Linked DNA regions of Alligator mississippiensis. The protein of the gene in region 2 interacts with the protein of the main gene of each other region in a pairwise test. Links are inferred from orthologs where the notes say so. Each region holds a gene or a part of one and is shown on either strand. Other genes may lie near its edges.

Region 1 (15,794 bases), on a different chromosome or scaffold from region 2:
GAGAAGTAAATGATAAACATACCACACAGTAAACCTGACAGTGTTGTTTCCTAGGAAAAGGGAAAGATCCTCTGTCATCTGTTCCTGACTCTTCTTATTGGCAACCATGACCATGATATAATCAGGAAGCTCTTCATCTAATTGGAAAAGGAAAGAATAAACCTGTATGTTACCTTTTAAAGTAGCTTTCCAGTCAGCAATGATATATTTTAAATATATTTTTAAAGTATGGCAGACCTAGAATGGAGGCAGTGATTACAATCCCGAAGAAATCAGACTATTTCCCAAATTTTATTATAAACACCACAGAAGAAAGATTTGTATTAATCAGTTAGTACTAAATGAAGTAATAGAGACTAAAATCTTGACCAAAGTAGTATATTTAAGTCCTCTAATAATTTCCTGCAAATCTGTATGCAAACTGCAAAGCTTTAAAAGTCCTGTCATTTGCACAAACTATTCTGTGGGCATGTCTACACGTGTGCTTTCATGTGCATTAAAGTGTCACAAAAAATGTGCTCTTTAGCTAATATGCATTAAAATAGGCTAATGCACATTTTCTAGTACCTCACAATGGAGGTACTAGATTTAATGCACATTACCTAAAGAGCATTAATGAATGTGTAAACCCACACCGTATCACTAACAATATTACTCTATAGTAACACAAAGATACTTTAGCAAAACCTCTTTTATGTTATGGAATACTTATTTATGACAGACAGCACAACAAGGAGATTCTCTAATAAGCAAATGAACAAACAATCTTTTCAGAGAAAAATTTTTAAAAGTTTAATACAAGCTTCAGACATAGCTAAAGCACATAAGATAGTCAACTCTACTGGAGCTCAAATTAAAAGATACAATAAAACTTAAAAATAAATAAATGAAGTACACACACACACACAGACACACACGAAATTAAAAGAAAAAGGATATCAAAATACCTTTTGATTTTTGTACGATAGACTTTTATTTGAACACTCATGATATAATAACCCACTGTTATGTCTCAGTGGTAGAATCCTGACCCAGGTTCATATATAACTACAGCTATTAAGGCTCTGAACATCCAGACTGTCTGGCCTTTGGATTCTGTCTCAACAGCCTATGTAGAGGATGGAAAGTCTGAGCACCCTCCACTCCCCTGCCTACACATATGCATCAAAGGGCCTGGTGACCTCACGCATATACCATGATCCAGAAGGACAGACAGTTGCCTAGATGATATAATGTTTTCTCATTTATTCAAATACTTCTAAAGGTAACAGCCCTATGCTGCGACTACTTTCTCCTCCACTAACAGAGACTAAATGGCTCTTATGTAAGACCTTCTACACAAGTGGTCTCCAACCTTTTTATGGTGAAGATCACTTTTTGGAAGTAAAGGGCACCCCAGGATCTACCACACCCTTCCCCTGCCACCCCCTAGCACAGGTGGGGGGCACGCCCCCCCCATAGACCTGGACTACCAGATCTTCCCAGATCCAGCTGGACTCATCCCCATGAGTCCCCGCTGCTGCGCTGAGCTGTGCCTGCACGTAGCCAGCTGCAGCATGACTTGAGGTGCAGCAGCAGCTGCCTATGCTGCCTCCGCCCCCGCAGAGATGGGGAGGGAGTCCCCCAGCCTCCAATCCTCCCATCACCCTTACTTTCCCTTGCTCCTGGCTGGGCCACACAGTCAGTCGCTCAATGTAGGGGCCTCGATCTGGCCCCCACCCCTTCCCTTTGCCACAGATCAACCTGTTGAGGCTAGGGGCGGTGGGTGCACGCGTGCCCAGCTGTCACTCCAGCTCAGGATCAACCTGCCGGTTGGGATCCCCAGGTTGATGACCACTGCTCTACACTTCGGGGGCACAGGGAGATAGTGAACAAACCACATCAGCATGTGTAGAACCAACCCCACTGGAAATCCCAAAGTCAGGTAAAAATGGACAAATTCAAGTGCTTTCCTCAACAGGAACCTAGGCCTGTATGCAAGTTAAAACTAGGGGTGCATTAACATAGATTTTGGGGGCTGATACCGATAGCCAATTTTTAAGGAGGCACATCGGCTGATACTGATCCAATTTCTGACATAGCTGTGCGCGGTGAGTAAGTCTGTTGTAGTGGAAGAGAGGGAAGGGAAGGGGCATGGGGGGCAGATCAAGGCCCCTGTGGTGAGGGAGGGAGTGAGGCTGGGGCAGGTGCTGCCCCGCCAGCACAGAGCACAGGACCAAGCCATGGCTCATATGGGGGGGTGCGGCTCCTGCTGCTGCGTGCACCCCGGGAGGGCACGGAGGGGGTGGGGGGGGGCATGTGTACCTAGAGCTGCACAGGGTGCAGGTGGGGTGGGCTGCATCTGTGGGTTGGGGCCAGGGCTGTGCTGGGCTCTTCCCGGCAGGGGCTGGGCTGTGTTTGGGGCGGACGGTGATGGCACTGGGAGGGGGGGCTGCAGCCACCCCAAATTTCATCATATCCCACCTGTAGCCCCCCTTCCTAGCGTTGCTATCAGCTGCCCTGAGTGCAGCCCCAGCTCAACCCCCAACTCCCCACACACCAGAAAGAGCCCCACGCAGCCCCAGCCCACAACTGTAGCCCCTTCCATTCCCCCATGCAAACCTGCAAGTGATGAGGGTTACATTTTTTCCTGTAACCCTTTATGGATATTATCGCCTCCTTATTACTATATCTGATACAACCCTCAATACAAGGGAAATAGGCAAGTCACAGGGGAGTCCAAAGATGATTGAGGAGGCTGAGCCGAAATCCACATGTTCCGCTACAGACATGTCAAATAGCTCTAGGAGGAAGGAGTAGATCTAGTGATGTCAGGTCACAGCTCTTTTTATTTGTCTCTCTCATCTATCTACCTCCAAAGTGAGATGAATTTGCTCAACATGGTTAATCCCTTATCATAAATCACTGTGCCTTTGGGGACAATTTGGTACTTGAGTCTCCCAGGTATTGATGTTAATATTGCAGTACTTCAGATTAGCCTTCAAAGTGCCCTTGAATCTCTGTTTTTGCCCACCCCTAGAGTAGTGACTACTGGTGAATTGGGAGTATAGGACCTATTTCAGGAGTCAGTTGTCAGGCATCCTTGGGACAAGTCCTGCCCAACAGAGCTAATGTCATATAAACATGGCTTCAATGCTGGTGGCGTTTGCTTAAGCCAGAGCAATGACATTCATTCTTCTGTTCCTCCTATTGATATGGAGGATATTCCAAAGACAGATATATTGTCCAAGTTTCGCACCCATACAACAAGGTAGTGATGACAACAGTTGGTAGATGAAAAGTTTGGTTTGGGTCCCTTAAAGACCCAAGATATTAATGATAAGATATCAGAAACATCCAAAGGCAGCACCAGCAGATTTTATCTGGTGTTGAATCATCAGCAATCCCTTGCATTCGAGGATGACTGTCTTCCATGATTGCTTTAGATGGCTAATGAGACCGTTCTGGGATCGACAGACTGTTCCAACTCAGGTACGTGTTTCTGTGCAGGGTGGGTGGCTCTGGATTCTTGATTCAGTCCATGACACGCTGTTTCTGCTGCTCCTGCTTTTCTGTCTCCTGTTGTCATTGTCAGGTTTCAAAGTAGTGAAATCCTTGCAGCAGACTCTTCCACCATCTAGAGTGGTCCTAGGTGATAATCATCTGTGAGTTGATGTTAATGTTACATTTTTTCCAAGTTGGCTTTGAGGATGCTTGAAGAGCTTTCTCTGCCCGCCTCTTGAGTGTACGCCTTGACTGAAGTGGGAAAATAAAACTAGCTTTGGGAGTCTAGAGTCAGACATCTGGATGATGTAACTGGTCCAGCAAAGTTGATTTTGGATGATCATCACCTCAATGCTCATGGTGTATTTGCTTCTGCGAGGATGATAATGCTGGTGCCATCTGTCTTCCCACTGGATTTCAAGGATCTTCCACAGGCAGCGTAGATAGTATTCTCCCACAACTTGAGGCATCTCTTGTACATTGTCCATGTCTCAGCTCTGTACAGTAAGGTGGCAATCACAACTGTTCAATAAACTATAAGCGTGGTTTCAAATCTGATGGTGCAATCTTCAAATGCTTGTTTCCTCAGGAATTTGAAGACTGCACTTGCATTTTTAAGCTGATGTTGGATTTCTTCATTGATGTCAGCCTTCTGCTAGAGATGGCTTCTGAGGTACGGGAAATACTCAATGTTCTCCAGTCTCACTGTAAATCTGGAGTACCAGAACTAGGGGCTGTGATCTATGTTTACTTTTAAAACCATTATCTATGTTTACTTTTTGAGAAAAGTGGCTACCCAGCTAGGGGAAATGCTCAACATTCAACCTTTAATTGTAATACGTGGAACAGCACTTGGCTTGGGATGTGTTGGTAAAGTATCTTGAGTTTTGTGAGCATGAGCCCAAGTATTTCACACATTTCACAGAAGCAATCAAGAGTGACCTGGAGCTCTTCGATTGACTGAGCATATATGACACAATCATCAGCACATTCAAGATCAGTAATGGAGACATTGGGTTATCTTGAATTTGGACTGTAACTGTTTGATGTTAACAGTACATGCAATATTGGATGTTGAGTCCAGATAGAAGTCTATCAGCAATGTGATGCACCACAGCTGCGATACAGATGGAAAAAAGAACATTAGTGCAACCTCACATCCTTGCTTGAGTCCAGTTCTAATAGTGAAGGAGTCCATTTCCAAGCCACTGCTTAAGATGGCTGTTGTCATGTCATCATGAAGAAATCTGATAATGGTAACAAATTTTGGCAGCTTCTCTGTTGACCTGACTAAGGCCTTTAATTCAACCAACAAAGGCCACGTAAGATCTTGGTGTTGCTCATGGCACTTTTCCCGCAGCTGTCTAGCAAAAAAGATCACATCTATTGTATCCCTGAGCAGTCTGAAACCGCGCTGATACTCAGGTAGAATCTCCTCAGCCAGGAAAGCGAGTCTGTTAAGGAGAATGCAGCCAGGCTTTTCTCAGCTATGGACAGGAGTGCAATACTATTATAACTGCTGCAATTCGATCTACCAGTCTATTTCCTTTTTTGAATGTGTGGCTATAGCAGTTACATTCATATACCAAACCAAAAATTCTTAAGATTATGTTTTGCCCTATACTGCTAGTTTGTGACACATTATTACTGTTTCCAAACATGCAGTTATCTTACTACCACATGCAGTAGTTACTGCCACACTGGTAAACAGAAGAGTATGTTCAATTTTTAATAATTTTGATAAATTATGGATTAATATTTATGTTTTTCTCCATTATTTAATTTCCTACGGAGTGAAACTTTCCTTCAACAATTCTATCTACATGATAAATAACTTGTTAAAAGTCTTTGTCTTAAGCAATCTTACAAAGGAATAAATAGTACCACCTGTCACAAGACAGGATAAAAGCACACACACAGAAAACAGTCTATGTCTAGGGTAGTTAGAGAATAATTGATCAATTTCCTGAAGAGAAGTAGGGGACACTTGGTAAACATTAACTGGAATGCTGATCCAAGCACTAATAGGTCAGGAGTGAGAAAGGAATAAAAAAAACGATCACAGAAACTTGGGTGTAGTGAAGGTAGTCAGAAAGGGGAAAGGATACAATGGGGGCAGTGTGTTAGAACTGAATAAGGAAAACTTTAATTTAATTTTAAAAAGTCAAAGTTAACAGAAAAGAGTTAAAGCCATTGCAAAGATGACCTTTGTAGTAGCCCTGTGAATGGACTGAGTTAGTGGGGAAAGAAAAATTAGGAGACGGTAGAAGCAGCTGAAATCAGAGATTACTAATAATATCTTGGCACTAGAAATGGGAAAGAATAGATAGTGGTGATGACAAAAGAGGTAGAAGGACTGAAAGCCTAGTGAAAGAGGAAGGGGGAACAATAACTAAGCATGTGTAGGTTGTAAGCTTGGATAACAGAAACTAAAAAAAGGGCTATTGACAGAAAAAATTGGGAAGAAAACTTGCAAGGTAAAAATGATGAGCTCTCTTCCTCAGAACATGCTGAGTTTGAAAAGAGGATGGGATGGACATCCTTTCAACATCATTTTGTATTGGTTTGTAAATGCAGCTATCCATTTGCCATCTCTAATGGGATAATATAGGATCCAGTTAGGAGGTTTGGGCTTGATCCCACAAGTGCAAGATGATTCCTGAACCCATGTAGCCAACCTCCTATGGACTACTTCACCTGAATTCTGTATGGTACCATAAGAGGAACTATAACGGGGTGGGCAACTATAGCAGGGGCGGAGGGCCGCTTACTGAGTTTTGGCAAGCCATCGAGGGCTGCATGATAGGCAGCCAGGGGCATATAAATATTAATTTTCTAAATTTTTTAGGGGCCCTGCGGGCCAGACAGAATGGCCTGGCGGTCCGCATCTAGTCCCTAGGGCCGCATTTTGCCCACCCCTGAACTACAAGCACGTACCCAGTTTGAGGATTGAATCTCTTCTCACAACTGTCTTATTATTACCCACTTTGGCTGCTTTAAAACAAAAAATGCAGACTGCTGAATTTGCAGTCATGGGAGAAATTACATTTCATAGTGCTCTTTCTTTGGGGCTCATTTTTCTCCCTCGCTCACTTATCTTTGGGTAAAGGTCATCCACAAACACAAATGCAACTACTGTCTCTACACAGACAATTCACAACTCCACCTATTACTACAGGACTGCTTTCTTATCTATACTAAAAATCTTAGTCTCTCTCTCTGGTTTCCCCCTTCTCTGTCACATCCAACGTACACTGCTTGCCAGCATTTTCAAAGCCCTCCAACTGATCCTCATCCTTCCCGTGCTCTCATGCAATGCTGAGGTCGACTCCAGGCTCCACCTAGCACATGACTTCAGGCTGCATTAGACACACACCTTTGTTCCTTTTGGCTGTCCCTTACACCTGGGAAGAGTTGCCCGTAAGCACCTGCAAAGCCACTTCATTGTTCTCACTGTTAAAAGACTCCTTTCCTCAGGACTTACAAAAACCTTGACAAAGCTTAGCCTGTTATATCCTTGTCTCCCACACTGGTCAGCACCACACCTACTGCCTCCTCTTGAGTATATGCACTTAAGCTGCTTATAGAAGTAATTCCCCCACAAAATCAGTGCTTTACTTTAAACTCTGTGTGCCCCTGCGTTGAGCCCAGTGCATGTGCACTGTTTTGGCACTGTTATCTAATAGCTGGTTGAATCAGCTGTAAATAAAAGTGCACCCACCAAAGCGCCCGATCTATACAGACACTGTGAAGTGGGGTTGAACCAAACACTGCTTCTTCACGTAAAGTGTGTTTTTGTTTTCGACCAGTCTTAAGGGCAGGGACTATCTGCTCAGGGTCAGACCGACCGGCGTACTAGGGGTCAGCAAGGAATTTTACCCCACGGTCAGACTGGTAGGGACGGTAGCGGGGGCCCTCCGACTGCGACCTCTTGCGTGCATGTTAACTAGACGTTACAGGAGCAGGACCTGCTTGACTCGTGGGGCTGACGTTAGTCTCATGTCGTGGGCAGACGATCAGCTGCAGGGACGACTTGGACAGGGCTGGTGCTGGCCGCACTACCGGCCTCTGGAGGCCCCTTCCCGCCCCACGAGTCTGCGCTGCGGGACGGGAGGCGCCTAGCCTCGCCCGCGGGCCCAGCGAGGAGCACGCGGGCGGCCAGGCCGAGTCCGGCCCCAGCCCCAGCCCCGGCCGGACACTCACCCACGTAGGCGCCCAGCTCCTGCAGCTTCCCCTTGATGGCGCCCTGGGGAGAGACACACTCGCGTTAGGCAGGAGCGGGAAGGGGGCCTTCCCCGGCCCCGGCCCCCGGCCCCGGCCGCACAGGCCCTGCTCCCGGGGCCCGACCCCGCGGCGGGGCTGGGCTGGGGGCGCCGCCGCCGCCTCACCCGGATCTTGCGGCTGATCTCGGTGCCGATCTCCATGGCCGCGATGGCTCCCTCAGCCGCGGGCCGCGCCGGAGCCGGGGGGCCGCGCCGGGGAGAGCGCGGCCGCCGCCCGCAGCGCCCCCTGCCGGCGCCCGGGAGAGCCCGGGCCTGCGCTCCGCTCCGCCCCGCCCCCGCCCCCAGCACGGCCCTGGGCCTCGGCCTGCGCCGCCTGCCAGGCCTCGCCGCGCCCGGGCAGCGAGCGGCCACGTTTTAAAATTCGCTTGAAGTACTCATGGCTGGGGCTTCGGGCATGGCCGGCTGTTGCCCCAGGGGCTGGGAAAGTCCGGCTTCAAGCACCGCACTCAGCCCTCATCAAAAGCCCCCGCCCCCCAATAAGGTATTACAGCGCAGGGAGAGGTCTGTTTGCAGGGGACAGGGGGCCCACACCAAGAGCCAGGAGGAGCTAGCTGCCCGTTGAGTCCAGTGGCGCGGCAGCCTTAAGCAGGCAGCTGCCCATTTTGAGGCGAAGCCGCTCGCCCTTGAAGCACAGGAGAGAACAGAGGAAGGAAAAAGAGAGACGTCTTGGCCTACGGCCTGTTCTCCCCTGCGGAAAGACCTGCAACTTCTGCAGACAGGTCTGTGGCTCAAGGACTGGGCTCTGAAGTCACCTCAAGACCCCTGGGCATCTAGTGCCACCTAAGTCGGGGGTGGGGGCACATGCCCCCCCCAGTGACCAGTCAGCGGCCACTCTCGCTGACCAGGCAGGGGTCCCCCCGTGGCCAATCTCACCGACGGCACCCCCACTCCCCGGCCAGCGCTCGCAGGGGGAAGACCCGTGCTCCCGCCTGCCCCCCGCCTGTTGCGTGAAGGGCAAGCAGGGCTGGTCAGGGGGGCGGGCCAGGCGTTGCCACTGTCGAGACCTGTCAATGAGCTGGAGTAGAGACTGTCCTAAATGGAGGGATTGCGGACAAGTAAACAGGGATGGACTTTTAATCTGCATAGAAAGGATGTGGATTTGTTGTAACCTGCCAAGGGCTGGGTATGTCTGACACTTCACAGGGTACCTTTTTCTTTTCGCTGCCGATGAATAAATTAGATGGTGGCATTCCTCCTCAATGTCCACAAGGTCTCAGAGATGCTGTGAAAAAAGAGCAAAAGGAAAGTGGGGAAGAAAATGGATTTGTAAAAAGGAGATATGGTTTTAACACCCTCCCCCCTGCAATAATCGCCAGACATCTCTATTTTTCTACTCTTCTTCTTTCAGGAATCAGGATTTTCTCACTGATCTGATGAGAACTGTGTGCAAATGTCTCTGGATGTGAAGATCACTGGATGCCATCCCATCCATCGTAGGTACAGTTCCAACCATGTTCCTTTCATTAGAGTCTGGTCCCATGCCAGCCCTGGGATTATCAAAACGTGGGGTGTGGGCAAGGTGGATTTAACCACCTGTACAAACCAGCATATCCTGGCTGTACTGACCAGCACTGCCAGGATGGAGAAAGGTAGCGTAAGTGATGTTGTAGCCATGATGGTCCAGATGCGAGAGGCAAAGTTTTCTTAGAGCGATATCTTTTCTTGGACCAGCTGTGTAGTTGGGATAAAGTTAGACAAGCTTCCCCATGTAAGACATTCTTCCTCAGTTTTCTGAATCTAGGAAGCCGGGCACAGCAAGTTATGCACTGCCTAGTGGAGGGTCTGAGAGAAATTCTCAGGCGCAGCCAACATACAGTTAGGAAAAGGAAGGAGAAAGACACAGTCTCAAGTCTAGAAGGCAGGGTAGATTTGCCCCCAATACCGTGTGCACACGTTTTCCCGAGCTGAAGCTCACTTCATGAATGCTGACCGGAGACAGCTGCATGCAGCCTGTCCCTAACGCAGGGTTGTCAGCTGGGGGTACATGTACCCCTGGGAGTAATTGAGAAGTCCCTAGGGGGTACATGCAGGCAAGTGGGGATGGAGCGCTGCCACCCACCACCTCATGCTGCCACACAGGCTCCACCTACCCAGCTGAACACCGAGGGCAGGGAAAGCTTGCACGGGGTGGCCGCAGCAGCTCTGCATTTGGCCATGCACTACCTCCTGCCCCACTCCACGTCCAGCATTGCCCCATGTGTGCTGGGGCTGGGTGGCCCCCTCTTGGGCTGTATGTGCTCTGCGTGTCTGGGCAGGCGGCAGGTGCGCGCTGCGCTGTGCACAGACAGCTGGGGGCCGTGAGTGCTAGCTGTTTGAGGTGGAAAGGGAAGGGAGGGGAGGGGAGAGTGGGGAGGTGCAGGGAGGGGCCCAGCCCCTTGTTCCACGAGCTCCGCTAGCTCATTCCTCCCGGGTAGCGGTGCCAGGAGCAGCGGCTGCTGCGGCTGCCCTGCGCTTGCCACCCCTCTCCCCCCCCGGGGTACACATATTAAAAAGGAGGCCGCCAGGGGTACACTTATTAAAAAAGGTTGAAAATCCCTGCCGTAAGGCATAGCCTGATGGAACCTGTTTCCTTCAGGAGGAACAATCAGCCTCAGGTCTGGTCTCTTTCCTCACACCACACCCAGCCTCTTCCACAGGGCCAGCTCAGTGTAAAGGGCCACACTGCCAGGGTTTGAATTATGGGAGAGCTTGGGGGGGCTAAGCGCCCCCATAAGAGAACCCCCCCCCCCCCCCCGCAACAGCCCGGAGCCCAACCCACCTTGTGCTTTTCTCAGCAGCCCTTCCGGCTGCCACTGCTGTTGGGGATCCATGTGCACACCTTGACCCCAGTTAGGTTTTTTCTGCAGAATCCCTGCCGTGCGCCCCCCCCCCCCCACCCATGTGCCACACACTGCAGCATAAATGACTGGTACCTCCTGAGACTGGGGGGGGGAGGGAGGGCACAATTTGTGGGTGGCAGTGTTGGCGGCACAGTGGTGAGCAGTGGCCACCCGCAGAAGCCAGCTGGGAGAGAGGGGTTATGAGTGGCAATTGGCGAATGCCCACAGAAGCCAGCAGTGTCAAGTGGAGACCACCAGCAGAAGTTGGCGGCAGTGAGCAGTAATCAGCAATGCAGAAGCCAGCTGCCATGTCAGCCAATCTTGGGGGCATGTGCCTCCCCACCTATGCACGGGAGGAGACCCTGCTGGATTAGAAATGCCCCGTACTTATGATCTTTGGGGCCCTGGAGAGGTGGTGCCAGCATTGGCAGGTCTTAAATATGAAATTATTGTATTGGAACTCAAAATTACCGTATTTGCTGGAAAAAAAAAAACTATCATACACTGAAAACGCATGCAAATAAGTTTTCTTCTGTACTTTATGTTGATCACTGTAAGTCCTCAGTCTGCGAGCAAGAACGTGGAAGTGGAAGCATTTCTTTATTTCAAGAGGCGCAGTGTTAGGAGGTGCTGACAGCCAGCCCAAAACCGGATTAAGATTCTCCGTGACTTGAGTTTTGCATTCGCTGCATCAATGACCTGCCTCAAAAGTCATCATACGTTTTAAACACTTTTACTATTATTGACCCTGCGTTGTACGAGGGCTGGAAGGATCTTACAGACACCATGGCTGTCGTACCCCGGCAAGGCTGGGCAGCGCCCGGGGTGCGGCTGCCGCCAGCCGGGCGGCCCGGACACAAGAGCACGCGGCGCCCCGGCTCCGGGCCCAGCCTTGCGCCCTAGTGCGCGTGCGCCGCTGGCCGGAGCTGGCGCGGGGACCCCGAGCACCGGCCGGCACTGCCGCATCCCCCGCGCCCGCGCCCTTGTCACACGGCAGTGGCGTCTCCCGTCAGTGAGCCGCGGCTCAGACTCAGGCGTCCGCTTGGTGCCTGTGACCGAGGCACCGAGTAAAGGCTCCTTGTTCCCGGCACATCCCGGAGGGGAGGAAGGGGGTGCTGCACGGGCACGGGTCAGCCCCGGGCAGGACCCGCGTTGTGCACCCGCCTGAGGCGAGGGCGGGGCGGCCCGGCCCGGCCGCTCCCACGGCTGCCACTAGCGCTGTCCCGGGGGTGGGCGCAGGGTGGCAGGAGAAGCAGCGGCGCTGCCCCGTCCCCGCCCCCGCCCCGCGCATTCCTGCTCCCTGAGGTCACGGGCTGCGGGCGAGCACTTGGCGGCTCCGCGTATCCTTCCGCACGGCCGGGAAACGCCTCCAGGCCACGACACTCCCCGCCCGGCCCCGCGCACAGCGCCTCCGGCCCCCGCCAGCCTGCGCCAGGGTTACTTGGCCGGGCCGGTGCCGACTCCCCGCGCAGCGCCGTGACCCGCGGCGGGGCTGTTTTCAGTAGGGGCGGGCGGGCAGCGGCTGTCCCGGCGCAGTCGGGCCGTGCGACCCGGATTGGGGAAGGCGCCTGCGTGTCACCGGATCGCGGCGGCAGGTAACGGGGCAGGGGCAGGGCAGGGCAGGCGCCGCGGGGGACAGCGGAGCTCTTCCTCCCTGCTTTGTTTCTTCCTCCCCCGGCTGGTGAGGTGACTAGAAGCAGCCTGGGGGACGGAGGTGCCAGAGGAAGTTTGTGATAGTTTGCTGGTGCGCTTTGCAGAGCTGTGCTGGGGTGGCCTGAGACGGGGAAGAAAGTGCCCTACTTGTTAGGCTGCTCCGCATAACCATGAAATAATGGTGTGAACTGCAAGTGTTAGCCATCCTGGGCACCTTGTTTCTCTGCCCTTCATTGTACTTTTATGAGGCAGACTCATCCCTGGAGCTTCACCTGTTTTAAGTCAAATACGAGGCAATTCTCAGAGAGGAGCTAAGAGTTGTAGAGAAAGAGGAGCTACCTATGACAATCCTTGGGACTCCTGTTTGGCTTGTGAATATTGAAAACGATATATATGCGTTCAGATATAGATGTGTAAAATCAGACGATCAAAAAATGTTTTTTAGTTCCCAGATAGATACTAGGCCTGCTTAATAAAGGGAACATTCACAAGAAGTCTAAATAGCAGCCAGACTTTTGCATTTCCAACTTCTGGCACTATAGCACAGGGCTCTTTTGTCCCAAAGTAGCAGTACATTGAAATAATGCGTGAGACAAATATGATACCAGCTGGTCTTTGGAAATGACAGCTGCTAAATAAAAACAATATTGCACTGTTTGCAAGAACTGTGCTTGGCCAGCAGTAGAAGTTGTCAAATGACTTGTGACCAGTACTCCTCCTCCATTCCCTTTCTTGTGCAACGCTAGTGTATTTTGTTATTTATCAGGGGCTACCTCTGATGTAGTGCATAAGAGGCACTGGGATCCAAGCTCAGTACAGGTATTTGAACTTATTGTACCTTTCTGGCAATGTTTTTAAATGAAGTAAGTGTAGTTTAGAAACAAGAAAATGCTACCAAAATGTCTAATTATTAGAGTGAAAACTGGGGGATTTTTAAGAAAAATGTTCCAAGAATACAATATGACCTTTAAAAATTCCTTCTTTGGATAAGGGAACATTAAGTCTGATTTAAAATTCCTTCCTAGGCAATTTTTTTTTTGTTTGCATTAAAATAAAATGATAGAAAGCAGTGCTGTTGATCATGCTTGTTAATGGAAGTGTTAACTTTCTTATAATGTCACCTGTCTGTCTTTCTGGAGGTTTTGAGTTGTATAGACATTATTTGGCAACATTATTTGGTGTCTGTTTAAAGGATGTCAGGAGATGAAAAAAAGATTGAAAAACTTAATTCCTTTAAAACCATGATCAATCAACACTAAAGTTGTGCCTGAAACTTGAAGAAGTCTTCAGCATTTGGCTTGCCTTAGTAAAGAGGGGCAGTGAAGGTGTGTAAGAGAACGGTGCTATGGTCTCTTGTACAACCTGCTTAACCAAGGCATGGGGATATGAGCTGAGGTCAGTGAGCCAAAGGTTTTGGGACCGGAAATAAACTCACTTGGCTCTGCAGGGAAACCTGTTTCTGTCTATTAGTATTGTAGTAGCATCCAGAAATGGATTAGGTATTGCTTGGACACGCGGGAAGACTCAGATTCTGAGCTAAGCTGCATCCTCTTGCCTTTGAAATCTTCCAGTAGCTGGGACAGGGAGGAGGCAGCCAACCATTAGAAGCTCCTGCCAAGTAGATATGGAGGGTCTTCTGAGCCAGAGCCGCAAGCATGGCACCGGTTCCTTTCTCTCCTGTGTCTTACCCCATCACCTCCTTGCTTTTCTTTATTCTTTTCTATTGTGCTGGAAACTTTCGACCTGAAAGAAGGAACTACATAACTCAGGGTGAGGAGTCAAGTAATGTTTTTTCTTTGATTGCCTTAGAATAGTCTAGCACCTAAATATGGATTTGAGCATCAAATGTATTAAGGGGATAAACCTAGAGTGTTCTCAGGAAGTCCAGTTCTTCTTCCTGCCCTGACACAGTCATGCTGTGTTCTGTCAATAGGTGTTTAGAATTGAAGCAAGAGAAGACTTAGCAAATGGCAAGAGTGGCCAGTTGATAGAAATCCAGGCCAGCACCTCATCTGCAAGATGTATTATTCATATGTCCCAATCTGATGAGATGGTTGGGAAATTGTGGGGATTGTGACAGAGGTAGCTCATCTTTGGGAGCTCAACATGGATGGTTTGGTTCTTTCTTACCAAAAGCAAGGGAGCGTTGAGGGTCTCATTCTCTGTTGTGGGTGGGTTGATGCCCTTGTATGGATCTTTGGCCTAGGTGCCAATCCCTCCAAAACAGGACTGAGTGGAAGCTCCTGTAGCACAGGCTTGTGGACTTGTCCCACTGCAGTGCTGCAAGTTTCTGCTTCAGGACTGGGTTGACGGCTGCACTCCAAGGCGAGGGCTCTGGTGCCCCTGGGTCATAGTTCTTGTTCTTCCAGTAGGCTGCGGGGAAATGTGCTTTCTGGCTCTGCTCCTGCTGGCAAAGCAGTGTCCCCATGTTGCTGTGGCTGGTGTGATCCCCTCACAGGCTCCAGTGTGAAGACAGCTACAGGTTCTGCCTAAGGAATGCTGGCCGAGGCATGGGGCATCATTGCCCCACCGGCATAGACCGACTGTCAGTGGGAGACAAAAACCTCAGTGTTTGATCCCCTTACCCTGCACCCAGGCACTGCACTGCCTGGCCTGGCTGCAGGGTCATCTGCCCTGTGTGCATCGTGCCATGGCCAACAGCTGTCTTTACAGCATGCAGGGGCCTGTGCCAATGTGTTCATGGATTTCTTTTAACAGCGAGCAGACCCTGAGGCAGCATTTGGGATGAGCAGGTCACTAGATGACTAAGGTTTGTAGGGCTCATGAAAGAAGCCTTTGTTATTTGAGGAGGGAATTTAGAAAATAAAGTATTACTACCTTCCTCCCCCCACTGAAATGGAGCCCACTGGTTTGGGGGGGGGAGAATGGAGAAGGAGAAAGGAGTGCTGGCACTTGAAACACTGATCAGCTGCTCAGGGTTGCAGCTAAGTGCTGATATGGGGAATATTAAAGGAATAGAACAAATGACACTGGCATTGGTTAGGATGCAGTTGTTACACCCCTTCTATGACCAAAAATGAAAGCTGCATTTTGCCCAAAAGGGAAGGCCTCAAATGATACAGTAGTGAGTAGCCCTAAGGCAGTGTTGGAGCCTTGGTTTCTCTGGCCCCCTCTATACACTACAGGTATATGCAATTAATTGGAGACCAGCTACTTGAGCAAAGTAACTATCATGCCATAAAAAGCTCCAACCAGCTATAAAGTTAGACCTGGAAAATGTACTAGCTTTATAGCTGGTGCTATCCAGCTTTAATTTGAATGTGTAGCAGGTTCTTCTCTGTGGCTGGGCGTCCTGTCAGCCGTGGGCTCTGAGCCACAGGGGTGCACCTTGCCCAGCCAAGCCTTCGAGTCCCTCAGCTGCTAAGACCTAGAGTCCAACAGCTGTGGACACTGGGTGTCTGCAGCATGCCTTCTGGTGCTGGGCCAAGCAGGACCCTGGCAGCCACAGGGCACAGCTGTGATCTGCCAGCCCCAGGGGTGCTGAAACCCCCGAGGCAGGGAGATCCCTGCTGCAGAGATCTCCCTGCCTTAGGGG
Region 2 (15,794 bases):
CTCTCCATATTTAATTAGTCTATAATATGCATATGTACCCTGCATTTTGACTGACTTCAGACTAATACAGCTAACAACCTCTCTCTGCTCATGGGTAGCTTCTTTTGTCAGCCATCAGAGTAAATGCCTAGATGTGAAGCTGAACAGAAGAAAAGGGTAATGACATCAGACGCTCAAGAGGGATATTTAAGGAGAAGGCTGCACCACCAATAACTTGGAGAGACAGAACTAGGGCAGGGGGAGGGCGGGAGGGTAGGTAGAGTGTGTCAATAGAGAAATGGAAGGAAGATTAGGTGAGTAGGGCTTTGATTTTGATGGGGCATCTGAGTAGGAAAGAGGAAAAGGACAATGTTTTTTAAAGTTGTTTTGAAGGCTTGTGACAATAGCTGCTGGGTTAGATACATCCAGTTATGTGACAGCAGTATTAACCTTTGTAAGTGAGCTGTCATGTGAATCAGACCAGCCAGTAGTTATTACACTTTTAATAAAGGACTTGCATAGAATTTGAACTCTGGAGCCCATCTGGGTATTGTCATGTCCCTGCTTTTTAAATTTCCCTTTCAAAATATCTCCTCAGGATTAGGGATGATGAGCTATAAAGTCTTAACATGAGTCAACTTGCTCAGCAGATGATTTGCATGACTGATCATCTCTCTAGATAGACAAAGCAATCCTTTGACAGAAACCAGGATGGGCTATGATATTTGAAACAAGTTCTACTCTTGCTTGGTCATAGTAAAATTATCCTCAAATGTTATGGCCAGAACAGGTGTCAAAAACCTTATTGATATAACAAGCGCCTAGCCTAGTTTTGGCAGCTCTTGTAATTTCTATCAAACTTTCTAGTAGTAACCTGAGACTTTCCAGGTTCTGCAGTGTTCCCTACCCAGAAAATCCAGGGGCATATGGACAAGGTAGTGGGTGCATGAAGAATTGGATGGACTGGAGGACATACTACCATCTGTATTTTTCTTTCCTTGCCCCTGTTTTGTGTTGGGTGCCAGGGAAACTTCAATAATGTCAAAGTACCTCCCACTGAAGAGCTGTCTAGAGCTCTTCTCATTATTTCCCATGTCACCCAGGTGCTGAAAGAAGAATTTGTCATATAAACAGGATTTACTGTAAGCAGACAGTAAAAGCTTTTTACCTACCAGTGGTTTAGGGACAGGAGGCAGTGGTTTCACAGAACTGGGTGTGCTATGTAGAGTTGTATCTATTGTGAAAGAGAATAAAAATAAAGCAATGTGAAGCATGAATATAAGGCCTTTTTCACTGATGTTGTTCAACTGGTGGCTGAGAAGGTGAGAGCACTAGTGCAGAAAACCCCCTGACCACTGCCAGCATTTAATCTCCATGTTTGTCCTCTCCTGTGTGAGAATAACAATAGTTAAAATGCTGGAGGCTCCCTGGAGTTTTCTTACAGGAGTACTCCCACAGATGCTGCTGTTAATTGTTTCTAACCACACTCAGAAAGAGACACAACACTTTTTGCAGTTATTGGTATTTAAGAAACAAAAAGAGCATTTGCTATACTGTTCCCGCATTTGCTATACTGCTTGCCTCTCCCTTTCCCTTCTTCTGCATCCTAATGTGCAGACAAGCTTACTGACAGCAAAACAATTGCTTCTTGTATTTGTGATGGTATATGGGTTTTATGGTGTTATTTGCATGTATATTTGCTTCTGAAGGAACATAATACCATTCAAATTACTATAATAAGTTAACTGGCAAGCCTTTACAAGGATAATACATTATGTAGAGTTTCTGTGCCCTCCCCATATATATAACACCTATATTCACACTACAGGGTATCATTAAGGAGTTCACCATCATTAGAACCAAATTTTGAAAAGGGGCCTCTAAATGTTGGTTAACATATCAGGCATATAGATTGGGTTCATAGATGTTTAAGCCTACATTTTCATTCATTTCAAATGATTCCATTTTTGAGCACCCATCTAGAAACATGTCAGGCCTGATTTTCAAATGTGCTGAGGAATCACAGTGAAGTCAATGGTCCACATAAGTGCTCAGTACCTCTAAAAAAATCCATCTTTCAATGTCACTTGCTCAAATTGGAGGCATACATATCTTATGCCCACTTCCAGAATGTAGGTCATAAACAGGGAAGGAGAGTTGCTTTCCCCTCGCTGTCAAGTTAAAACCTCTAGTACATGTATTCTTAGATCATTGTAGTTAATTTCTAGTCACATAATCTAAAAATGTAAACCTAAAGAACAAATGAAATAAAAGACATGACAGATTCTATTTTTAATTAAAAAGAAGAAAGTTAAAAGAAAAAAAGTGAAATTCCAATACTATGGCATGGTCTGAACATACTGCTGGAGTCTCTGTTCTCAGGTGTGTTGTATGTACTATCCCAAGATTTCTAGGCCTTCCACTTCAATTAATATATATTTCTATTTCAATTTTTATTTTACATTTTTGCCAAATGGTGCTGGAAGGGTGGGGTGGGAGGGGAGGGGAAGGACTCATGAATTGAGTAGTGTAACTAGGGGTGGGCAAGAACCCCTCCCACCCCTCCAAAGCACTAAGTTAGGAGAGGTGCCAGAATCACTCCCCAACCTTGTGCAGTCCATGCCCTGGCAGCATTCTCATGCCAGGTCCCAGCTGCTGCTGTTGAAAAGCAACAGCCAGGGTTGGCAGAGCACATGCAGAGGCAGCAACAGCTCAGCTGGGACTATATAGGAGTTCCTGGGGTGGACAAGACTGCCGCCCCCTCCCCACTGTTTTCAGATCCTTGCCCCCCACACCAAGCTCTTAGAACTGGTGCCACCTCGCTCCCATGCCTGCTCTCAAAACTGCATTCTCCACCGGCTTTCCCACAGAATTGGCCCCAGGTGCCAACTCTGCTTGTTAGGCAGCTGCATTAGTTCATGCTATATGAGAATTTGCTTTACTTTAAATAATATCAGGTTCCCAGAACTACTCATCTTTTGAAATAATCTGATTGGAACTTTTTTTTTTAAAGTAAACTTGCTAACCAGCAGCATATAGTTTAATAATGGTTAAAATTTTGTTTCAACTATTCTCTTGAGTCCGCTGTGCTTATTGCAAACCTATTTTTTTAAAATGCAGATTCCAGAAAATAGCCAAATAAGCTTAGAAAGGGGAAAATATGGGCCTGTTTAGAAATATTGTCCAGTTTATAGATGTGATGAGAAAGGTCAGTTTTACTTTGGAGTAATATCAAACTGAATCCTTTAAAATAGATTCACTTGTTTTCTGTGCTGAGTTTGTGTTGTTTGTAGCTAATCTGATTATTCAAACTCTAACAATAAAGAATTTTGGTTTTATTTTCCTGTAGCATAACTGTATTTTAACCAGAGAACTAAAGAAAGAAAAGAGTGAATTTACTTTTGCTGTCTCGTGAACATACAGTATAATATTGCCATTATCTTTTTGAGCAACCATATCAAATCAGAGTATTTCTCATCTATCACATTATTTTTCCCTAAATGACATTGCAGTATTATTAGTGGAAGTTAAGCATACACATCAAGAGGAATAGTAGACAGCTTTTATATCTACCAGTTGATTAGAACTGTATGTACTGATTATATGGATTTAGTAATATAATGAAAAACACCATTAAAAACTAAAAACATATTCAAAGGGAAACACAAATGGCACATTACATTTCTCCCAAATGGTGCATCCAGGAGCTCCTTTACAAGTCTGGTTGCAACAGAGGAACTTCCCATTGGTGAAGAAGCCTTTGTGATACTTGTTCAGTAAATCAGCATTCCCTCTAATTTCTGGAAAAACAAGGAGGAAAAAAGAACTTGAACAGGCTTCCTGATAGAACATGACTTGTAAGTAATATGGACGAGTTGACTCAGTAGTTGTGATTCAGGATTATAGGGGAAGACAATGACTTTAATAGACTGTTAGAAATCTTATTTAACTAATTGTAGAAGGAACAAATAAAATATTTAATATTTAAAAATAGGCAAGATGATTTTGTCCTCTAACTCTATGCAATTAATACATATTATAGAAATAAATGAGATAAAAAAAATAGCTACCCAGTACACCAAATGGCAAATTGATTGTGTGAAAGAATGGAAAGCGTATTGACTAAGTCAAGAAGGAATAACCTCTTAAATAAACACTTTATTTTGTATTAAAAATACCCCTTCATTCTGTAGAAATGGTTTCAAATATTGTAAGTGACAATAGTGACACTGTAGTGTTTGAAGCCAGTGCTTTAGGGTTCGTATTGGAAAGTAATTAAAAAAAAATTTAACAGTACAGGGTGAGGTTTTAAAACCAGTTGCTCCATATTTATATATTCAAGAATTCTGAGAACCCACAAAGATAGGAGCTACTGTGTGTTTGTTGAAACTCAACCCCCAGCTATTTATTAATGCTTTTATATCTGTCCTTTCCTTAAAGAATCATAAGCATTTCACTACAGTGCACCTTGCTGGCTTTCTACAATATTACGCTACTTCTCAGCAACCTTATTTTAAGAACTATACCTTGCTAGATTGCCATCCTTGAATATAAATTCAGCTGATGACAGTGAACCAAATCTTAGAGTTACTTCTTACAATAAAGGCAAATGAACAAAATTATGGTGAGTTAAAATATGGCAGGAACATACTGCACAGAACTTGATATGTAGTATCTATTCGCCCTCTTTTACCCCATGGTAAGTGAAACTGTCCTGGGGCAGCTTTACTCCCCATGAAATAGGACTACGTTACTAAGTGTTAGCTTCCATTTACTTCAGGGTAAGAACAGGCATGCAAGCTGTTACCATGTGTGGTAAGCCCCTGTCTCCTATTAACTCACTGTAATCTGTGCTTTTGTCCATACTCTAAAGGTCAGACCCCATTCTGATATGTCGAACAAAACCAACTTAATGGACAAGAAACTCTGTGAAGAGGAAGTCCAGGAGTTTCTATCATGTAATACTGTCAGGCAAATAAAATAGGCAGAGGATACATCTATCAAAAACGTCATCTATCAAAAACCAAGACTCTATATATGAAAGCCCTCCAATCATCCACTGGCCTTCTGCACCACTCCTTTATCTGTCCACTTAGATCCCTGCTGGCCTCTGCCTCCAAGCTCTACCTAAGAAGGATTTAAATAAAAAAGCTATTTTCAACAATTTCTCCCAGTGAAAAAATGGAGAGAAAATCTGTGGGCTCATTTTATTTTGACTTATTTTTAATGAAAGGTTTTAACTTTTTGAAAATTTCTGACCAACTCCTATAAAAACTTTAGATTTCAGACCACTGTTCTATAGAGGGGGATTGGGACTGAAAATTACTGATAAAAATATTGCATGAAAACAATAAAATTAGAGTGTTTTTTTTTTATTTGCATGAATTCTATGAACAAATCTCCTTCATTTTTAAAACAAACACACAAAACATCCCTCACAAGTAGTAAAACTAACCTCACCTTTTTGTAAGGCTTCCAGCCATCGACTTTGGCTCTCTTCATTAGCTGCGTAGACATAAAGAAGGCCATCCTTGTACACTATCTAAAAATACAGGAAAAGCAATTCACTGTACAGTCAGTATATCTCAGCTGGCTCAAAGTCCATTAACTGTAATGGGGTGGGAAACAAAGGGTATGGGAACATGTATAAGGAACCCAAAAATCAAGCTCTGCAGAGCAGCTGACACCAAAAGACATGAAGAGCCAAAATATCTGGATTCACAGTTAAATAACTGTTCCCTGATTTTCTATGAATATGAAGTAAGGGCCTTAACCAGTAGTGCTTCAAGTGGCCAAGTTCTAGCTGGGATAAGACCACAATTTCACATCATAATTAGAAGTAAAAAGCCTATATACACTATGGTTCTTCATAGAATCATAGATTATCAAGCCAGAAGGGGCTGTTGTGATCACTTTGGCTGGCTTTCTGTCCCATTAAGAGGCATACAACTTCCCTGAGTCAATTCCTGATTGAATTAGGGCAATACTTTAAGGGAAAAAAAATCACTGATTCTTTTAAAGATTAGATGGAGCATCTATCAATGGCATATTAAAACAAAAGCATGTGATATCCAAAAACACACTTTTCATGTTTGTATATAGCATTACAGAAAAATAAACTATTATACACACTTGAATATATTCATAGATTCATAGATGTTAGGGTTGGAAGGAACCTCAATAGATCATCGAGTCCGACCCCCTGCATAGGCAGGAAAGAGTGCTGGGTCTAGATGACCCCATCTAGATGCTTATCTAACCTCCTCTTGAAGACCCCCAGGGTAGGGGAGAGCATCACCTCCCTTGGGAGCCCGTTCCAGACCTTGGCCACTCTAACTGTGAAGAAGTTCTTCCTAATGTCCAATCCAAATCTGCTCTCTGCTAGCTTGTGGCCATTATTTCTTGTAACCCCTGGGGGCGCCTTGGTTGTACACAAGATCTCATCTACATTCCACTGAAGTGAATGAGAAGGCTCCCGTTACTTTCAGTGGTCTTTGGTCTTAGCTTATAATAGTGGTCACTAACCAGACAATTGCAATTGCCTGGTTGATCAGGGAGCCCCTGACAGTTGATCACAGTCTGGGGAGGGAGGTTAGTCCCCCCCAGACTAAGATCGACTGTCAGAGGCTCTGTAATCGTGAGTGGCAGGACACATGTGAGGAGTGGCTGGGACACAGTCTGGGAGTGGCAGGACATAGGAGCGGCAGGACGCATGTGGCTTGCCCCATTCACAGATTGGGGGGGCACGTGCCCCCCCCAAATGTGGGGCAGTGCAGGCAGCTGCAGCAGCAGTACATGAGGGAGTGGGGCTGGAGCAGGAGCAAGCCCTGCAGCCAGGGTGGGGAGGGACAGAGCCATGAGAGGTTTGTTCGGGGGGTGCGGGGAGGGGGGTATGCACTCCAGGAGGGCACAGGGGGCATGTGCCTCTGGATCTGCACATAGGGTGGGGTGAGGTGGGCTTCAGCTGTGGGCTGGGGCCAGGCTCTAACCAGAAGATGAGTTGCTTATGGCTCCATTCCACCCCACCCAGGCTGCAGGACTTGCCCCTGCTCCAGCTCAACTCTCTCCTTCACCACCATTGGCAGGGGGCACAGATCGAGGTCCCAGCAGTGAGAGAGGGAGTGCAGCTGGGGCTGGGGCCTCAATCTGTGCCCCCCCCCCATGGCCCTTTCCCCTCCCCCCACCCCTTCCCACACAGACTTACCTGCTGGGGGGGGCGCACCCCTAAATAATTTTTTATCCCTCTGCCTTGATCTGCCCCCCTCTTCCTTCCCCACAGACTTTCTTGTTGCAGAGGTTGTGGGGGAGGAGGGGTTGGCAAGGGGTAGAAGTAGATCTTGGTTTGCTTTTAAATTCCAAAAGGGATCTCCTACTGAAAAAAGTTGGAGACCACTAGTTTATAACAGTATGGCTTCATTTTCAATCTGCTACAAGTTTTTGTGACAGTCAGGAGTGCCACAAGATATTATTCTCTACAGTTAAGATCCTCAAAATCTGCAGGAGGACTTTTGTTGCCCTTGATATTTTGGAATCTCACCTGAAATGGATATTTTCTCTCCAAAGGAGTTGGTTCATCAAGATTCACAGTTTCAACACATCGTATTTTCTTAATATCAATTGATCCCTTTTTGCTTCCTTTTTTCTAAGAACAGAAATCAAAGTAAAATGCAAGTTTGTGCTCAGAATTTCAAACACAAAAATCAAATCAAAATTAATTGATCAACATGAGTTTTACAAACTGATGCTTAAATGTAAGCAGTAGGGTAATTGCATGTTTCACCTAGAATGAGTATTTTCATTTCTTCACTTTTATTAATATTTTTGGAAAGGTATTAAAAGACATTCATGGCATCTTATCTTGTATTCCAGACATGGACAAAATTCCCTTTGAAATTAAAGTAAAAAGATTACAACACTGAATCCATCCACCAGAGAAGAAATAAAAAAAAAAAGTTCTTAAATTGGAATGCACAAATGAGGAAGGGGAAATCACTGAAACATAAAAAAAATAGGTCTGGAAGGGATCTGTGGAGGTCATCTAGCCATCCCTTGCCACCAGCAGGCTTATATCTACTTAGCATGCAGCAGACCCTAATAGAAAGTGGGAGTCTGGTTATTGTCTTTATTACTTTGTTAAGATACATGGGCCCAATCATGCAACACTTACTTATGCAACAATTCATAACACAAGCGTATGCTGTTCAGTCACAAGGGAGGACACTCTTCTGAGTACTCATTCTATGATATGCAGACATCTTACAGAGCACAATTGTGCTTAACCATTTACTTTAGTGTGGAATAAACTCTACACTGACCTGTATACATTAATTCTGAAGAGCTGTCAGATATGCAAAGCAGCTCAGAGGCTGTCAGTAGGAAAACATGCCTGTTCAGGACAGTATTTAAGTATGTGCTTAACTTTAGGCATGCTTAAGTCTTATTGACTTCTATGGGAAATAAGCCTAGCTCTGAGGTTAAGCATAAATTTACATGCTAGCCTGTAAAAAGATAGACTTATACATGGACTTAAATGTTTTTCTGGACTGAAATTAGAGTTTGGGCCCATACCATTTCTAAACAGAGCTTTGAACAAAGTATACTAGCATCCCTGCTACACGGTATCTACATTGATGAAGAAAAAGAGAGGAAATTCAAAGTTTTGGCTTTTGAGACAGACAGGATCTCTGCCCCCTGCACACATGCAGTATTTTGTGTTACTATATATGCTAAAAAATACAAGTCTTAATATGCATGTGCAGCTATGACTTTGAATTGCTTGAGTCTTATGCATTTAAATTGTCATGGTATAATTTCAGTATTAAAGAGTCTAATTTTACACAGCTGAAGCAGATTTTATAAACAGACTTTGGAAAATCTTTGATCTACATAGTTAAGAAAAATGATTTCATACCTGTTTGTCATATTCATGGTAAGAGAGATGTGTTTTTGTCAGAACAAACAGCCTTTCTTTGTAATTATTTGGTGACATTTTTTTCTTCTGTTGCGACTTCTTTAAAAGAACTTCTTCCAAAATTGAATTGTTCTCCATTTTGTTACCCTAAAAGAATTGCAAATAGTCACTTTTATTAATAATAAGACAAATATCTTTAAAACAGCAACAAGATAATTGCCCTTATTAATGGATTATAAGGAATTTTAAAATCAAATTGTAATGAATTTCTAGCATGCTGTAACAAGCTGCTATGAAGACTGTATTTCATATTTTATGAACATGTAAAACAGATTAGTTTTTTCACAGTAAAAAATAAACAGATTACAGGAAAATTGAAGGTTAAGATAATGCTTCAAGTAAGTCATTCTCTATCCCTTTGTTGCCTGAACATTTTTCTTTTTAAATTCTTGCTTTGTGTCTTCAAAGGAACTGAAGCTATGTTAAGTACAGATATGTCATACTTGAGAATTGTAAGGAAATCATTCTAGCAACAATCAGGAACAAAATCTTCAGGTTGCTGACCAGAAAAGCATGTCCTTGTGTTGGTCAGATTGGACATTTTCAATTTCGTCCTGTCAATGCATATAAACAACAGTCTCACTTATCATGTAAAGAGAGGTAGTTGGCCACCTTAGTTTGAAGTCATGCACAAGGCAAGACAGGGTAGCATTTTAGAGACTGACTGGTTTAGACATGTGCTGTCATGAAAGCTTATGCCCTTCTGAATGAACAAGTCTCAAAGTTGCTACCTTGCCCTGCCTTACCCTGTAAAAAAAGAGTCAAAAGGTGAAACTATTCAATTACAGTTTGTATTAATTAGTATGTACAACAGTACATAGTAGAAGGAGAAAACCCTTTGATTTTTTAAAGCTTTGTATTTTAAGTTACCTCGTTCAAATGTTGCACTTGCAGGAGAAAGTATGTCCTTTGTAAATTGCCCTCTGTTTGGAGTTCCAAAAGGAAGTGTCCTGCTGAGCTGTAATGTGCATTATGTTCCTTTAAATGCAGAGAGTCTATCAGAAAAAAATACATTTGCATGCCATTCATCACACCTACCTCCTCTGTCCCTATCATCATCAGACATCTATGCTTGTTCTTCTAGGTTGGCACATATTTTCCATAATTCAATTTTAAACCTTTCTTCTCAATACCCCTCAGTTACCAGCTGGTATCTGACCCAAAGCATTTTGATCCTCTGTCCCAGGTAGATCCCTCCCATCATGAGATAGGCTTGTTCAGAAGTAGTGGAGTGGTTAGTTCAGAGGTAAGCTAACTTGTAATTTCTCTGTCACCTTTACAATTACAATGTTGTGCCCCTTTCATTCAGAATGATAGGGTGTTTGGCCTTTTTACCTTGGAGCTGGACTGAATGAATGGTGGTCAGACATTCTCCATATTGCTGTCAATTCAGCATAAGCACAGGCTTAAGTTTAAGCATCTGATTCATCTCATCACTCTTCAGCAAAGCACTTACATATTTTACTTTGGGAATCAGGACCTCTGACTACTTAGTAGCTTGAGTTCTGACAATCTGTTCCAGAATAGTTAATTTCCTTTTTTCTTTCTTTTTTTTTTTTTGACTAGGGGTTACTGGTAATTTTAAGTTAGATATGAAGGATTTTTAATTAATTATTTTATAAAGACCTACTTGAAAAAATGGTGGGGGGGAGGACACATGAAAAATGTTGAAATTTCAAATGAGTTTTAAATACAGCTCTCAACTTGAAATGAAGCATTTTTTGCTTTTAAAATATTTTTAATGAAACAGCTTTTTAAACTTCTTAATGTTATTTTCCTCCTCCTCTTTTTCTTTATTTTTTTCTACTCTGTGACATTTCATTCCTATTTTTTCAGTATTACATCTTGGAAAAAGACAAACAGGCAAAAGAAAAAAAAATTCCTGGTCCCAAAATGCCTGGGATATACAGTTTTAATCACGCCCTTACTGCTCCCAGACCATCTTTAATAATAAGCCATTTTGCACATTCTGTTAAATAAGGGGAGATGATTTAGATATTAATTTTGAAATGAAAAGAAAGATTACCATTTGAAGACAATACTAATAGTTTGAGCCAGTGTCTAATGACTTTAACAAGGAACATTAATAATGCTTGTTGGATAATTTTGACAACTTTTTACTTGTTGAAAATATTAGTTTGATTCAAGTAAAATTTTTAATCGGAAAAGTACAATTGTATGGGTAGTTTTTATTCTTCATTTTTAGGTTTAGAAATTGTCAAAACATTTTATTTTGTTTTTAAATGAAAAACTTCAGTTTTCTGAGTTATAGTGACTTTCTTTTAGAAATTTAAGCTAAACATTTGAAAAATTAAAAACTGTTCCTAAATGAAATATTTTGAAGTTATTAAAAAAAAAATTGTCAAAGAATCCATTACTGATAGGCTAACAGAAGGCAATATTCTGAAGGATAGCCAACATGGCTTCATTACGGGCAGGTCTGACCAACCTCATTTACTTCTACAAACAGGTAACTCGCCACCTGGATAGTGGAAATGAGGTTGATATCATATATTTGGACTTTAAAAAGCCTTCAACCTAGTCTCCCACAATGTCCTCATGGTAAAATTGGGAAAATGTGGCCTTGACTACTTTACGGTCCAATGGCTAGGTAGCTGGCTCTGTGGTAGGACCCCAAGAGTATAGATTGATGGAGCTGAGTCAACATGGTGGAAGGCAACCAGTGTTGTCCCTCAGGGTTCAGTAGTCAGACCAGTGCTTTTCAACATGTTCATCAATGATTTGGATTCTGGTATTAAAAGCAAACTGACAAAGTTCATGGACACCAAACTATGGGGGAGTGTGGTCACACTTGAGGACAGGCTGGCAATACAGGCAATCTGGATAGGCTTGTGAGGTGGGCAGACCTGAACCTGATGATGTTTAATATGGAGAAATATAAAGTGCTCCACCTGGGGCGAAATAATCCACAACACACATGCAGGCTCGGCAGTGCTACGCTTGCCAGCACTCCAACTGAATGAGACCTGGGTGTTGTGATAGATCACAAAATGAACATGAGCCACCAATGCAACGCTGTAGCTGGCAGAGAAAATCAAACACTGGCATGCATCTACCAAGGCATCCTGAGCAAAGCTAAGGATGTCATCCTCCCTCTCTACTCTGCCTCAGTGAGACCACAGCTGGAGTTCTGCATCCACTTCTGGGTGCTGCAATTCAGGAAGGATGTGGAGAAGCTCAAGAGAATCCAAAGGAGGGCTATGCACATGATTAGAGGCCTAGAGACCAGGTCTTATGAGGAGAGGCTGAAAGACTTGGGACTGTTCAGCCTAGAGAAGAGCAAAGTCAGAGGGGACTTGGTGGCAGCATATAAGTATATCAAGGGCCCAGGGGAGCATCTGTTTACCGAGGCCCCCCCCAGGGGAGGAAAGAGAAACAATGGGTACAAACTGATTGACGATTGCTTCAGACTGGACATACGGAAAAACTTCTTTACAAGTCAAGTGCCAAAGGTTTGGAACAGGCTCCTTGCAAAGGGGATACAGTCACCCACCCTGGTGATCTTGAAAAAACATCCTGATGCCCACCTTGCTGGGGTCACCTGACCCCAGCAGTCTTTCCTGCCCAAGTGCAGGGGGGCTGGACCTGATGATTCCTTCCAGGTTCCTTCCAGCCCCTATCATATATGAATCTATGAAAACATTTTGAATGAACTGACCCAATTGTTTTTTATTTTGATGTTCAATATTTCAGCATTTTTTAGATGCTGTCTTTATTCCTATATGAAACAGTAAAGTTTTGAAAAGTCTCAAGAATGTTCTAATACACGATACTGTTAATTTCTTTCATATGGAAGGGAAGTTGCAATGGCTAGTGTGATGCCAAAAAGCTACTAAAGAATTTTTAAAATCAGCATTTAAAGTAAGAGAAATACGTTTGGATGTATTGCAGTAGGACTCTAAGTTTCCATAATGCTTGGAAAAATGCCTGTTCTATAGGTATGTAATCCAAAAAAATGCACATCTGTATAACTTTTGGTATTTTGATGAACAAATGCAAAGAAAATCTTTAGTATTTACTGTGTATGGTTTGAATTAGGCCAATAAAGAAAACCAGAAAAGTTTGAGCAACAACAGAATGTAGTATTTATTTTAAAAGGTTGTTTTCTTGCTTTAATTTTCCCTGATTTATAACATCCTAAAAATACTTTTTTGTGGAATTAAATATTTGCTTTGATCTCATTTCTCTAATGTAAATACAAATGATGTATAAGTACATTTTATTGTTTCAAGAGGACAATGAAGAATGCTTGATCTGGAAAGAATCTTCAAAGGGTGTTGGATTTAATGTGACCATCCTGTATCTTCTGAGACAGTCCCAGTTTCTGGCAGTGTATCTGAGTGCCTGTAATGGGTCCCTGAACCCCTGAACACTTTTGACTTGAAATTGGAAAATTCTTCCTAAATCAACTCACTTCCCTCAATGCCATATCCCTCTAAAATATTCCTGTGAAATTAGGTATTCCCAATGTCTGGCTACATCTGCTGAGAGGTAAAGCTAATTTGCCTGGGTACAGTATGAGATGAACAGTTATACTGCTTCTAGTTTGGTTTTCTATCCACTAATTCCTCACAGCTACCACTCACAGTGTAACATTAAGGCAACTACCCTGACAGGCCCTAAACATTGTACTGACTGCTCCCATTCAAGAGATGCATCAAGCATCTAGGACTGAGCTGATCGTTTTAAGTGCAGGGAGTTTTTCCTTGGTTTTAAACTGCAACAGAGTGTTCTGTGCCTCAACACAATCCCCATTGCTTTTTGTGACCCCATGCTGGTCATGAGCAAAGATTGGGAAACATAGCTCCAATGAAGCAAAGGCATTAAGTCCTTTATGCTTTTCAGTTGTGGATCCAGTATCTTTTTTGGAGAGTAGCAGCTAGACATGCAATAAGAGAAGTGGTTAGTTGTGTTAGTCTGGTCCAGCAGAAAGCAGGGCAGGATGGCACCTTAGAGCAGGGGTGGGCAAAATGTGGCCCATGGGCTAGATGCAGCCCACCAGGCCCGCGGAGCCCCTAAAAAATTTAGAAAATTAAAATTTATCTTCCCCTGGCTGCCTGTCATGTGGCCCTCAATGGCTTGCCAAAACTCAGTAAGCGGCCCTCCGCCTGAAATAATTGCCCGTCCCTACCTTAGAGAGAAGCTGGTTCAGAAAGGGATGAGCTGACGGGCATGTATCTGGCATGGTTTGGAGTGGTCTCTGACCAGTGCCCTGTTTTTGATCAGAGGGAGACCCTGGCACACATGTTCTTAGAGTGCGCCAGGCTGCAGCCCCTGTACCTCCTCCTCCAGAACCTGCTGCTCAGGTTCTGGCTGCACTTCTCCCCACACCTTTTTGTTTATGCACTCCCTATCCGTCGCCCCACCAAGGCCTGGGACCTCCTAGTCAACCTCCTCCTGGTGCTGGCCAAACTGACTATTTGGCTAACCAGGTGGGAGGCTCTGGCCGGGAAGGTTCCCGGGGACACTGGGGCGTTTTTCCTCGGTGTCCTTGCGCACATCTCCAGGTGGAACATCGCTGGGCAGTAGCTGCCGGCACTCTAGCAGAGTTCGAGTGTTGGTGGGCGCTGTCCGGCATGCTCTGCTTGGTGTCCCCCAGGGAGCACTTGTTTTGGCTCTATGACCTTCACGTGTACACCCTGTTTTTCATTCTTTGACCCCGTATTTATTTGATTTTAATGAGGCTCTATGCCGCCTGACAGTGGCAGCACACATGATTTTAGTGGGCTAGGCCCATGGCCCATTGCAATCAACAGGTCAGAAAGGGATGAGCTTTTGTAGGCAACAAACTAATCACACCTACAAAAGCTCATGCCTCTCTGAATCAGTTAGTCTCTAAGGGCACTTGTACATGTGATGGGGGTTTAGTTCCCTAAATTGAAATGGTGGGTTTTTAATTGTGCCAGTTAAAAACTCACCATTTCAATTTAAGGGCTTCCATCACTGTTATGGCAGGGAGCCTAATCCTTTTTTTTTTTTTTGAGGAGCCTGCTTGCATCTCCTGTGACCAGGCGGTGAGCTGCAAGTGGGCCAAGTGGCCCTTGAGCTGTGGGGGGCCCCAGTCCCACCTCCCACAGTGGCAGTGCCCCCCGAGGGCTGCCCAGGTAGGCTGCTAGCAGGTGGGTGCTGCTCCAGCTCAGGGAACAGTTGGATCAGACCAGGTGCTGCCTCTGAGCTGGGGCAGCACCTGCCTGATAGCTGCCTGCCTGGGCGGCCCCTTGGGGCACTGCTGCTGCGGAGGGAAGGACCGGGCCCCTCCATAGCTCAGGGGCTGCACAGCCTAGCAGCAGCTTGTGTGGGCAGACTCTGCCAAAAAAAAAGAAAAAAAAAAGTGGTGAGTGGCCTGATCCTTCACCTCCTCCCTTGCTGCTTCCCCCCCCCCCGCACGTGTACAGCGTGATGCAATTAAAGCGCAAAAATGGCCAATTTTCATCATGTGTACAAACACCCCAAGGTGCCAGCCTGCCCTGCCTTCTACAAAACTGAGTGACACAAAATGGGCCTAACATCTGTGCTTTGCTTGAAGTGTTATTTAGCTTGTTTGCTACCTTCTCAATTTCTTTGCCCCTTGTTTTTGTGGAGGCCTAAATTGGCTTGCTTCACATTTGCCCCTCTGGGCTGTGTCAGGAAGGAAAAAACAGATATATAGTCCAGGGAAAGAGAAATGAGGGCCTCCCAAGGACACCCACTAACATGCGCAGCTCCAAAGCAGGTTTTCCAGAGCAAATTATGTTATTGGTCACAGGGAGGAAGGGGGTAAGAGGAGGGGAGTGTTTATGTGCAAGTGGATGTGCGTATGTGTGTGTGAGAGAGAATTTGTGTG

Evidence for each region.
Region 1: the proteins of BMX (region 2) and PTPN21 interact in binary tests that used the Homo sapiens proteins (3 or more experiments, as listed by UniProt). The link is inferred for Alligator mississippiensis from reciprocal best matches to the Homo sapiens genes BMX and PTPN21.

The regions. Positions count from the first base shown.
Region 1 is NC_081825.1:271,804,847-271,820,640, reverse strand, and holds the start of PTPN21 (tyrosine-protein phosphatase non-receptor type 21), read left to right. Parts: upstream 1-8,055; 5' UTR 8,056-8,485; intron 8,486-9,114; 5' UTR 9,115-9,203; intron 9,204-11,143; 5' UTR 11,144-12,180; intron 12,181-15,794. Other genes in the region: ZC3H14 (zinc finger CCCH domain-containing protein 14), read right to left, coding at 23-137, 7,687-7,729, 7,872-7,907.
Region 2 is NC_081824.1:322,787,760-322,803,553, forward strand, and holds the start of BMX (cytoplasmic tyrosine-protein kinase BMX), read right to left. Parts: upstream 9,034-15,794; 5' UTR 9,029-9,033; coding exon 8,891-9,028; intron 7,622-8,890; coding exon 7,517-7,621; intron 5,522-7,516; coding exon 5,440-5,521; intron 3,780-5,439; coding exon 3,660-3,779; intron 1,214-3,659; coding exon 1,152-1,213; intron 1-1,151. UniProt on the Homo sapiens protein: Non-receptor tyrosine kinase that plays central but diverse modulatory roles in various signaling processes involved in the regulation of actin reorganization, cell migration, cell proliferation and survival, cell adhesion, and apoptosis.